Linked DNA regions of Ovis aries. The protein of the gene in region 2 purifies or fractionates together with the protein of the main gene of each other region. This does not show direct contact. Links are inferred from orthologs where the notes say so. Each region holds a gene or a part of one and is shown on either strand. Other genes may lie near its edges.

Evidence for each region.
Region 1: the proteins of CCNL1 (region 2) and CSNK2A2 purify together in Homo sapiens (affinity purification with mass spectrometry; 4 studies listed by BioGRID and IntAct, with this or other methods). This does not show direct contact. The link is inferred for Ovis aries from reciprocal best matches to the Homo sapiens genes CCNL1 and CSNK2A2.

Annotation. Positions count from the first base shown.
Region 1 is NC_056067.1:25,635,747-25,639,904, forward strand, and holds the start of CSNK2A2 (casein kinase II subunit alpha'), read right to left. Parts: upstream 2,801-4,158; 5' UTR 2,468-2,800; coding exon 2,364-2,467; intron 1,596-2,363; coding exon 1,484-1,595; intron 1-1,483.
Region 2 is NC_056054.1:231,166,467-231,170,674, reverse strand, and holds the start of CCNL1 (cyclin-L1), read right to left. Parts: upstream 2,801-4,208; 5' UTR 2,748-2,800; coding exon 2,445-2,747; intron 2,161-2,444; coding exon 2,086-2,160; intron 1,391-2,085; coding exon 1,281-1,390; intron 1-1,280. UniProt on the Homo sapiens protein: Involved in pre-mRNA splicing. Functions in association with cyclin-dependent kinases (CDKs). Inhibited by the CDK-specific inhibitor CDKN1A/p21. May play a role in the regulation of RNA polymerase II (pol II).

The DNA of each region.
Region 1 (4,158 bases), on a different chromosome or scaffold from region 2:
GACATTTTTCTGAAATTGCTTTAGTGTCAGCAGTTCGTCCTTCCAAATGCACAGCAATGGAATGTAGATATTCTTAATTTCAATTTATGTCTTGCTTACTTCCTAGAGAGATTTTAACCAGCTTATAGTAAAAACATTTATGCTAATATACTAAGAAAAAAGCTGTATGGCTTTCCCAGGTGACTTCTCTGAAGAAAGCATCTTTTTAAATATTTATGCTTGTGAAGAAATACAATAACAAAAAAGATGACATGATTCTGTGGGTGCAACTCATATTCAGGGAAGAGGAGAGTCAAAAACTCCACATTTTCAATATCAGTTCCTTACTTCTTACCCCCAGCGTTTCTGACAGCATAAATTAGTAACTTGGCTATTTCTCTCAATCATAATCCTGTCTCTTCATCACTAGGCTAGACTGGTACGGAGTATCAGTAGAGTCACTCATTTTTCTGAAAAGCGATTTTCAGACAGTCCAAGCCTGACCCCTCTTTTTAAACAGGAACACAGCTGCCCTAACTCTACTTAAGATGACAAAAACAGCCTTTCAATCCTATATTCTTATCCACAGAACCTCTCCAAAACGGCTATACTGGAACTCCTGTTTGTGTAAAAGTGCTTATATTAATTAACTCTTTGGTCACCTCAAGATTTCACTAAATGACATGCACACAAATGAAATAATCTGGCAATGATGAATACCCTTCACAGATTCTAAGAACTGTTTTTTAGTCCACCCTGTAAAACATTATCAAAGCTATATAACCAGTTACCTGGAAGAGAATTTAGCCAACTCTTCATACTTAGTAAGATCATGTCTCCATCCAAGAGATGACAAAGTGTGTATCTGCTACAAACTTAGGCTGCTAAACCAGATTCAGGCTGGTTTGTTCTAATCATTATTTTAGTGATTCTAAGCGTACTCTCTACTGCTCCCAACTTCACTTTTACTGGCTGATAAGCAACTATGAACCTCCCTGGCCCTGTTAGCTCACTGTATGTACCCCATCTGAACCATTTAGCACCAAAGGAGAAAAAACAAGCAATTATTCACTGGGGTGTTTCCTTCCACTCAGTCTTCAAACTCCTCTTTGAAGCTACTCTGTTTCCATCTTTCTTTCTGGAATAACAAATTCAGTGCTCAAGGAGCCTTTGTATCAACTGGGCTCTTCATGAAGAGGCTCTTCTTGCATGTGAATACCTATTTAGTTTGTAACAAATGGAGGCTCTTTGGAATATTCACTTTGGGAGCCCATAATTACATTTTAGAACAAGGATGTTCCTGAACTACCATGCTTAGATTTGAAAAAGGTCTGTGTGAAAAAAAAGTTCAAACAAAAACAGCTGTGGGAAGAGTAGCAGAGGGACATGGGGCAGAAGGTTTTTAAAATGAGTTTGTCCTGCTCATTCTAGAATGTGGTTGGAGTAGTTTGTATCCTTCTGACCTGTGAAAAAGAAATTTTAATGCCACTCATAAGACACTCACCTTGAGAATTTTTACCACCACTCTCTCGTTGTTGGTGATGTTAATAGCCTCAAATACTTCACTATACTTTCCTCGACCAAGTTTCCGAACCAGCTGGTAATCATCTTGATTACTGGGAAAGACAAGGAGGACACATAAATGCCAGGACTTGGGGTTAACCAAGGCTATGCCCACTACACATCCTCATCCAGGCGCTTCCACTGATCAAGCACTTGGAAGTGTCTATATACCTCATGCCATAACTTATTCCCTACACGAAAGCCACAACATAAACTTGGCTCTTTTCACTGGACGTAGCTCCTAACCTAACTGGTCCCTCATAACTAGGGGGAGACAAGGTGGGAAGGCAGGCGTCTGAGCCAATCTAGCGAGATGAGCTGAGCATCCATCCTGGAGGCTCACAGGTGCCCCTCTGCCCACAGCACCTGCCTTATTACTTCACTCCCGCAAGGTAGACAGCGCTCGATTTGAGAATCTGGACGTCTTTAAAAAATTTCCTCCCACCCAGCCTCATTTCAAAAACCTCAAAAAGGCAGAGAATTTTAATAGCTCAAGAGGACAGCTGCTGACTTCCCACCCCAACAGAAACCCCAACGCGTGAGAAGGAAGGGCTGCTCCTTCACTTCCACCAGGCTCTGGTCCCTGGATCCCTACACTTGTCAGTAAGAGAGCATTCCCCGAGGTGAGAGGGGTGCGCACCGCTGAGAGGAAGGAACGAGAAGCGGGGAGAGGGAGACGAGAATATGGTGGGGAGGGTCTGCTTCCCACCCCAGAGCCGAAGAGGCGCGGGCCCAGCGGGGAGACAGACCACGGGGGGCGAGTGCGGTTTGCGGCGGGGGTGGGGGTGCGAGGGCCCGGAGGGGGGCTGCGGCGGCTTTACCCCCAGCTCGGGACGTGAGCTTCATAGTCCCAGTATTCGCGGCTCCTCAGGCTGTTCACCTCCGCGTAGACCCGGGCCCTGCTGCCCGCGGCCGGGCCGGGCATGGCGGGCGGGACCGGGGGGCGCCGCGGGGCGCCGAGGGTGGCGGCGCGGCGAGGGGCGCGGGGCGACGGGCAAAGGAGGCGGCGGGCAGCGGGCCGCCGGAGGAGGAGGAGGAGGAGCGCGGCGGCGGGCGGCCGCGCCAGGCCGGGCCCGCGGGGGCGGGCGGGCTGGGGGGCGCGGGGGGCGCCGGCCGAGCCGGCCCGGCCCTGGAGCGGCCGGCGGGGCGGCGGGGCGGGCAGCGCTCGCGCTCCGCGGCGGCCTCCGCTCGGCTCGCGGCTCCGAGGCGGCGGCGCTGTCGGCGGCACCAGCAGCGGCAGCCGCCGGCCGGGAAAGGGTCAGCGACGGCGGCGGCGGCGGCGAAGAAGGAGGAGGAGGAGGAGGAGGAAACCCGGAAAAGGGGCCGCACTCACTAGGAGCGGCCGCCGCCCGGCCCGGGTCCGCCCAGGCTCACAGCGCCCCCTGCAGCGCGGGGGGACCCTCCCGGCGGCCCCGCCCCGCCCCGGCCCCGCCCCTCAAGGCCGACTTCCAATCTCTCTCTCCTGGGTCTGGCCCGCCGCGCTCACCACAGGGTCGTCCCCAGCTGCAGGCTGTGGCCCTGGAGCCTTGTGCCTCGTATACCGTTTTAGGACTCCCCTAGAGACCCCTGCCCCAAACGCTCTGCCCTCTAGTCATCCAGAGTTTACCCACCCCAACCTCCCGGATGGACCCTGTTGTGATCTTTTTGTCACCCAAACTGTTCCCAACAAGTCCCTTCCTAATGACTTGCTCTTAGCTCTCAGAACCGCTCCGTCATAAGATTTCCCCTTCCTTCCCAGAGACACGCCGTCTTCCCCTCAATGGACCGTGACCGGTCACCCATAGACCCTTGAACTTCAAGACTTGCCCGTCTCTCTCATGTATCACCTTCCTCATAAAACCCTTCTCATACACTATCCCCAAAATTCCCTTCCAGAACCTTCCCTAAGACCCCTCTGTATGTTCACATCGGACACTTGGTTTAGCTGGAGTCAGCCAGGTTGCTGGCTGTAAAGCTCCTATTTTTCCCTCCATAATTAATAAGCGATACTTTGAGATCATGTAAATACTCTGGTTTTGTTTGGGACCACACCAGGAGACGAATTGTGAGAGTTCTGCCTGTAGGGTTGGGCTGGGGGTTGGGCATGGACTGAGGGTGGGGTGGCCAACCAAACCTTGGCCTATTTTATTATCTTGCTTTCTAGCCCTGAACATTCTTCTCTCTATGATCTTCTGGGCCTTTTGTCTTGCTTTCCCATCCCACTTTTTTTTTTTTTTTTTAATCAACACAACTTCCTCGCACAGCCCAGTTTGTTCTAATCTTTTTTTCATATTCTATTCTCTAGATGAGACTGTTTCCTCTTTTTTTGATATGGTTAAGAGCACAGACAGTGGAGTCAGATTCATCCCAGGTTTGAATCCCAGCCCTGCTACTTACAAGCTCTGTGACCTTGGGCCAACAACTTAACCTCTCTGTGCTGTAGATTTTACAGCATAAAAACTGTAATGGCATCTACTTCATAGGGCTATGGGGAAAATTAGACAAGTTAAACCGTGTAAGGCAATGTCACAGAACGCTCAAACTACCGCACAATTGCACTCATCTCACATGTTAGCAAAGTAATGCTCAAAATTCTCCAAGCCAGGCTTCAGCAATACATGAACTGTGAACTTCCTG
Region 2 (4,208 bases):
TCACTGTTTAAACACCCTTAACAGTCTACTAGATCTAAATATAAATTTTAGCTCAGACCATACTAAATTATCAATTTGAAAACTTCCCAAGTTTCAGGGATTCCTCACTAAGAAGCTAAAAGACATTTTTAAATACAATTACAAAGTTAGTCTATCCCTGAATAAGGTGAATGAAAAAAGAACAGAATAAAGAATATAAGAAAACCGAAAACCACTGTGAAAACTATCTGGGTAACAATATTTCAATCTAAGTAGACTGATCATTCCAAGGCTACTTACTTACTATTCGCTTGTCTCTAAATAGTTTCATTACCAACAATTTACAGATTCAACTAACAAGGACCACTCAAGGAAGCTTTTAATTTTGTACTAACCAATGCCCAACCCCAAAATGACTAAAATCTTTTTATAACTGACTTCCTTTCAAACTCAGTACAAGTTTATCTAATATCACAACAACTTCCTCAAAAAGTGAACAGAAGAACTAATCTACACTATGTACTAGAAGCATCTATTATTATAAGTCATCTGTAGACACAAGAAGTCATCTGTAGGCACAAGCCGCACTGTAACTAAAACTTTTTGGTACTGCCTCACTAGAACACATAAAATGTTAGCAGGCTTCCACCTATAAAACAACACTATTTTGGTTTCTATTTTCTTACTAGATCAGATAAATAGCCCCTATCTAAATGCAGCCCACTCACTGAGACTGTTATCTGACCAAAACAAAATACCTGTTTAATCCCTTTGACTCCAAACTTTATCATCCTGCAGTCCTTTCAGATCCGGTATTATGGGGGATATCGTAGTTCAATGTTGAGAAGTATTCTAACAAAAGCCAACCTCAATTGGTCAAGAATTAACTGGAACTTCCAGTGGTAAGACAGTCTACACAAAACTTCACCACAATATTAACTTGAACTGCAGCGTTTAAACTTCCAGCCTTCAGTCTTACAGAGAAGGGAGGGGAAAAATAACTTACAGAACACACTCACACTTGAGACAAACATACTCCCTTTCTTGTTTAATCTTAAAACCACAGGACTGGCTTCACAGCACTGTTAGGATTGTCCATAAACACAACTGCCTCTACAAACTTCAAATAACTGGTTAACTGTGGTTTTTCAAATTATCAGTGTGTTCCTATGTGAATTTTAACACCTAAATTAAAGTCAGTTTTCCCTTGCATCAGTTTTGAGAGGAAAGAATGTTTTGACATGATTGGTGCACAGTTCAGTAGTAGCAAGAGATGCTGCATTCAATAATGCCAATCTTACCTTTTTCCTCTTAACTGGCGGAGGTGGTGAAATACATTAATCACATCTCTTATTCTTCTAGGTGCTTCTTCAATTTTTGATGCAAGATTAATACATGCCATGGCAACAATCTGGAAAAAAAAAAGAGCCAATAAGAGCTGTTAGATTATGGCACTGCAGGAGTAAAGTTAGAAAGAAGTGCCCCTCTCAAAGTCTACAGAACTTATTCTAATGAAAAAACTTTCAGACACAACTGGGACATTTGGTGAAATAAAAATACAGTTGACATTTCTAGGACATAAATTTATGCTAGTGTGACGTTTCTTTTATTGCCTAAAACAAAGTTTAGTCGCTCAGTCCTGTTGACTCTTTGCGACCCCATGGACTGTAGCCTACCAGGCACCTCTGTCCACGGGATTTTCCAGGCAAGAGTACGGGCGTAGGGGCTGCCATTTCCTTCTCCAGAGGATCTTCCCGACCCAGGGATGGAACCCGGGCCTACGACATTGTAGGCTTTACGGTCTGAGCCACCAGGGAAGTCCTTATTCCCCTTAATTTTCAATCCGGAGCCAAACTCAAACTCATAGGTGCTCTCCATTTGATTGAAAATGCAAATTCTTGATAATAAGGCACCTGGACTCAGGCTCCATCTTCTGATTCTCAAACTCTCTCCAAGAGTCCCTACTCCCCTATGGGTGAGAGCTAGGTACAAAGGCCTAAAACTAACCACTCCCTTTCTGCAAAGGCTGGCCACTGACACTACCCCCTCCTTCCTTCCCATTTCCGGATGGAGAAATCCCCCGTCACCCGCCCCCGCCCTGCTTACCTCGAAACTGTGTTTGACGAAAGACTTGGAGTAGAAAAAACGATGAAACAACACCTGACCCGTTGCCATCGCCACCTGCAGACAAGAGAAGAGAACGGAAGCGCAGGGGTCAGGCGGGCCCGCACCAGGCGCCGCCGCCATTTTGTGCCTCCGCTCACTCCCCTCCCCCTCCCCACCGCGAACAGCTCCTGGGCCGTCCTCCCATCGCAAGCGCCCTCCCGCGCTCTGGCTGCGACCCGCGGCTGGAGAACCCCAGGGGGTGACCTCCCACGCGGCCGGGTCCTGGTAGTACCGGAAGGCATCGGAGGGGAAGGCGGGGAGGGGAGGCGCGCCTGTCGGCCCGGGGCCGGATCACTGACCTGCGGAAGCCGGAGGAGAATGCCGGCGGCCTGGATGAGCTCGCAGCCCAGGATGCGCAAGTCTGTCTCGCTGGGCAGGTCGAGCCCGTCCTGCATGGAAGGGGTGGGCGAGAGCCGCTCCTCCGGAATCAGCGAGTGATCGATGGTGAGCGAAACTTCCGAGTAGAGACGGTCGCCGATCAGGATCCCTCCCGTCGTGGTCGTCGTCGTGGTCGTCGTGCCGGAGCTTGAGCCGCCCGCGCTAGGGGCAGCAGACGAGACGGCGGTGGCAGTGGTAGCGGTCGGGTGAGGCCCGGACGCCATAGTCTCAGCGAGCTGCACGCACGCCCAACGCAGCCGGAACCCGAAGTGAGACTAACCAGCGTTCTCGGCGCGACGGATATTCCCGTGACCGCCGGGTTCTGGCCGCTTCACGCAGCGTGCGCTTCCGCCCTGACGTCACCACGCCCGGTCGGCGTGCCAACTAGTCCCTTTAGGCGTTGTCTCCGCCCGCTGAGCCTACGCCCTCGCCGGCCGCGGAGCAGAGGCCCCTGGGTGGGACCGTCGGGTGACCTGGGTGACCTCCCTGTTGGTTCCCCAGAGTGGCTGGGGACGTGGTCTACTTACTAAAACAACCTCAAACCGCCTCGCCTCGTATGTAATATTTTTAATCAAAAGAGTAATAAGGGAGCTTTACGAGATACCGTATCGCCAACTTCGAGTCCGCAAATTTACTGTAACCCCTGCACAGTTTTGATAATTTCTCTAGAACGTGCGTCTGTGTGCTCCCGTCTCTCTTCCTCTCCTAACTTTCCGCATTTGGGTGGCGCAGGTTCAGCGAGTACAAAGGGAGGCGTCGGATCGACCTTCGCCCGCATTGGCGGGTGTAAGTGGTTACTCCAGTGTCGTGTACGGACGAACTTGTAATTTAAAGTGACCCGCAAGGAATCTGGAGACGGTTGCTTTACAGTATTTTTAGAAAACAGGAATGTGAACTACTTCAGTTCCAAGGGAGAAAAGAAAGTTCCCCGAGAGCCTGTGATTCCCAGAGGTACGGAAGTAGGGCGAAGGCTTCGTATTGACTGCGAGGGCGACTGCTTTAGCGGCTTAGATTATGAAACATAGGCCTGAGCCAGTTGACAGCGCCACAGCTTTCGCTAATCTGGAAAATCCCTAGTTTCCAAAAATAGTTTTAGGGCGAGCCCTCACAGAGGTAATATGATTATGCCCAGAAGGGAGTCTATGTATTCCTGCCTGGTTATTGCAATTAGTAATATGGGAGAAATCTGTCCCCTTTATATATGTATTCTCTCTGTGATATTAGTAGTTCTCCAAATTTCCTGAAGTTTGAAGTAAAAACAGGGATGCTGATCCAAACTACTAGAAGCTAGAGCTGGAGGGAAAGGAGTATGTCCGGGTTTACTCCATTTTTTATCCCACGCTTGACCCTAGGAGACATGGTCTGGAGATAAGACGCCCCATCGCCTATTATATAGCTCAGTTTTAAGGCTTACTTGGATTAATTGTAGAAAGCGAATTGAAACTTCTCTAAATAGAGCAAAGAGAGTTTGAATACATTAAAATATTTGTCAGTGACATCACAAAAGCAAAACATATTCAAAATCCTCATTTTAAAAAAAGCATTAAATCAACCTTACACCAGTATTTCTGAACTCTGGCTGCACCTAAGGATCTTCAGAGGAGCTTTTATTTGTTTTTGGCCACATCACAGCAGCTTGTGGGGATTTTAGTTCCCTGACCAGGGATTGAATCTAGACCCTTAGC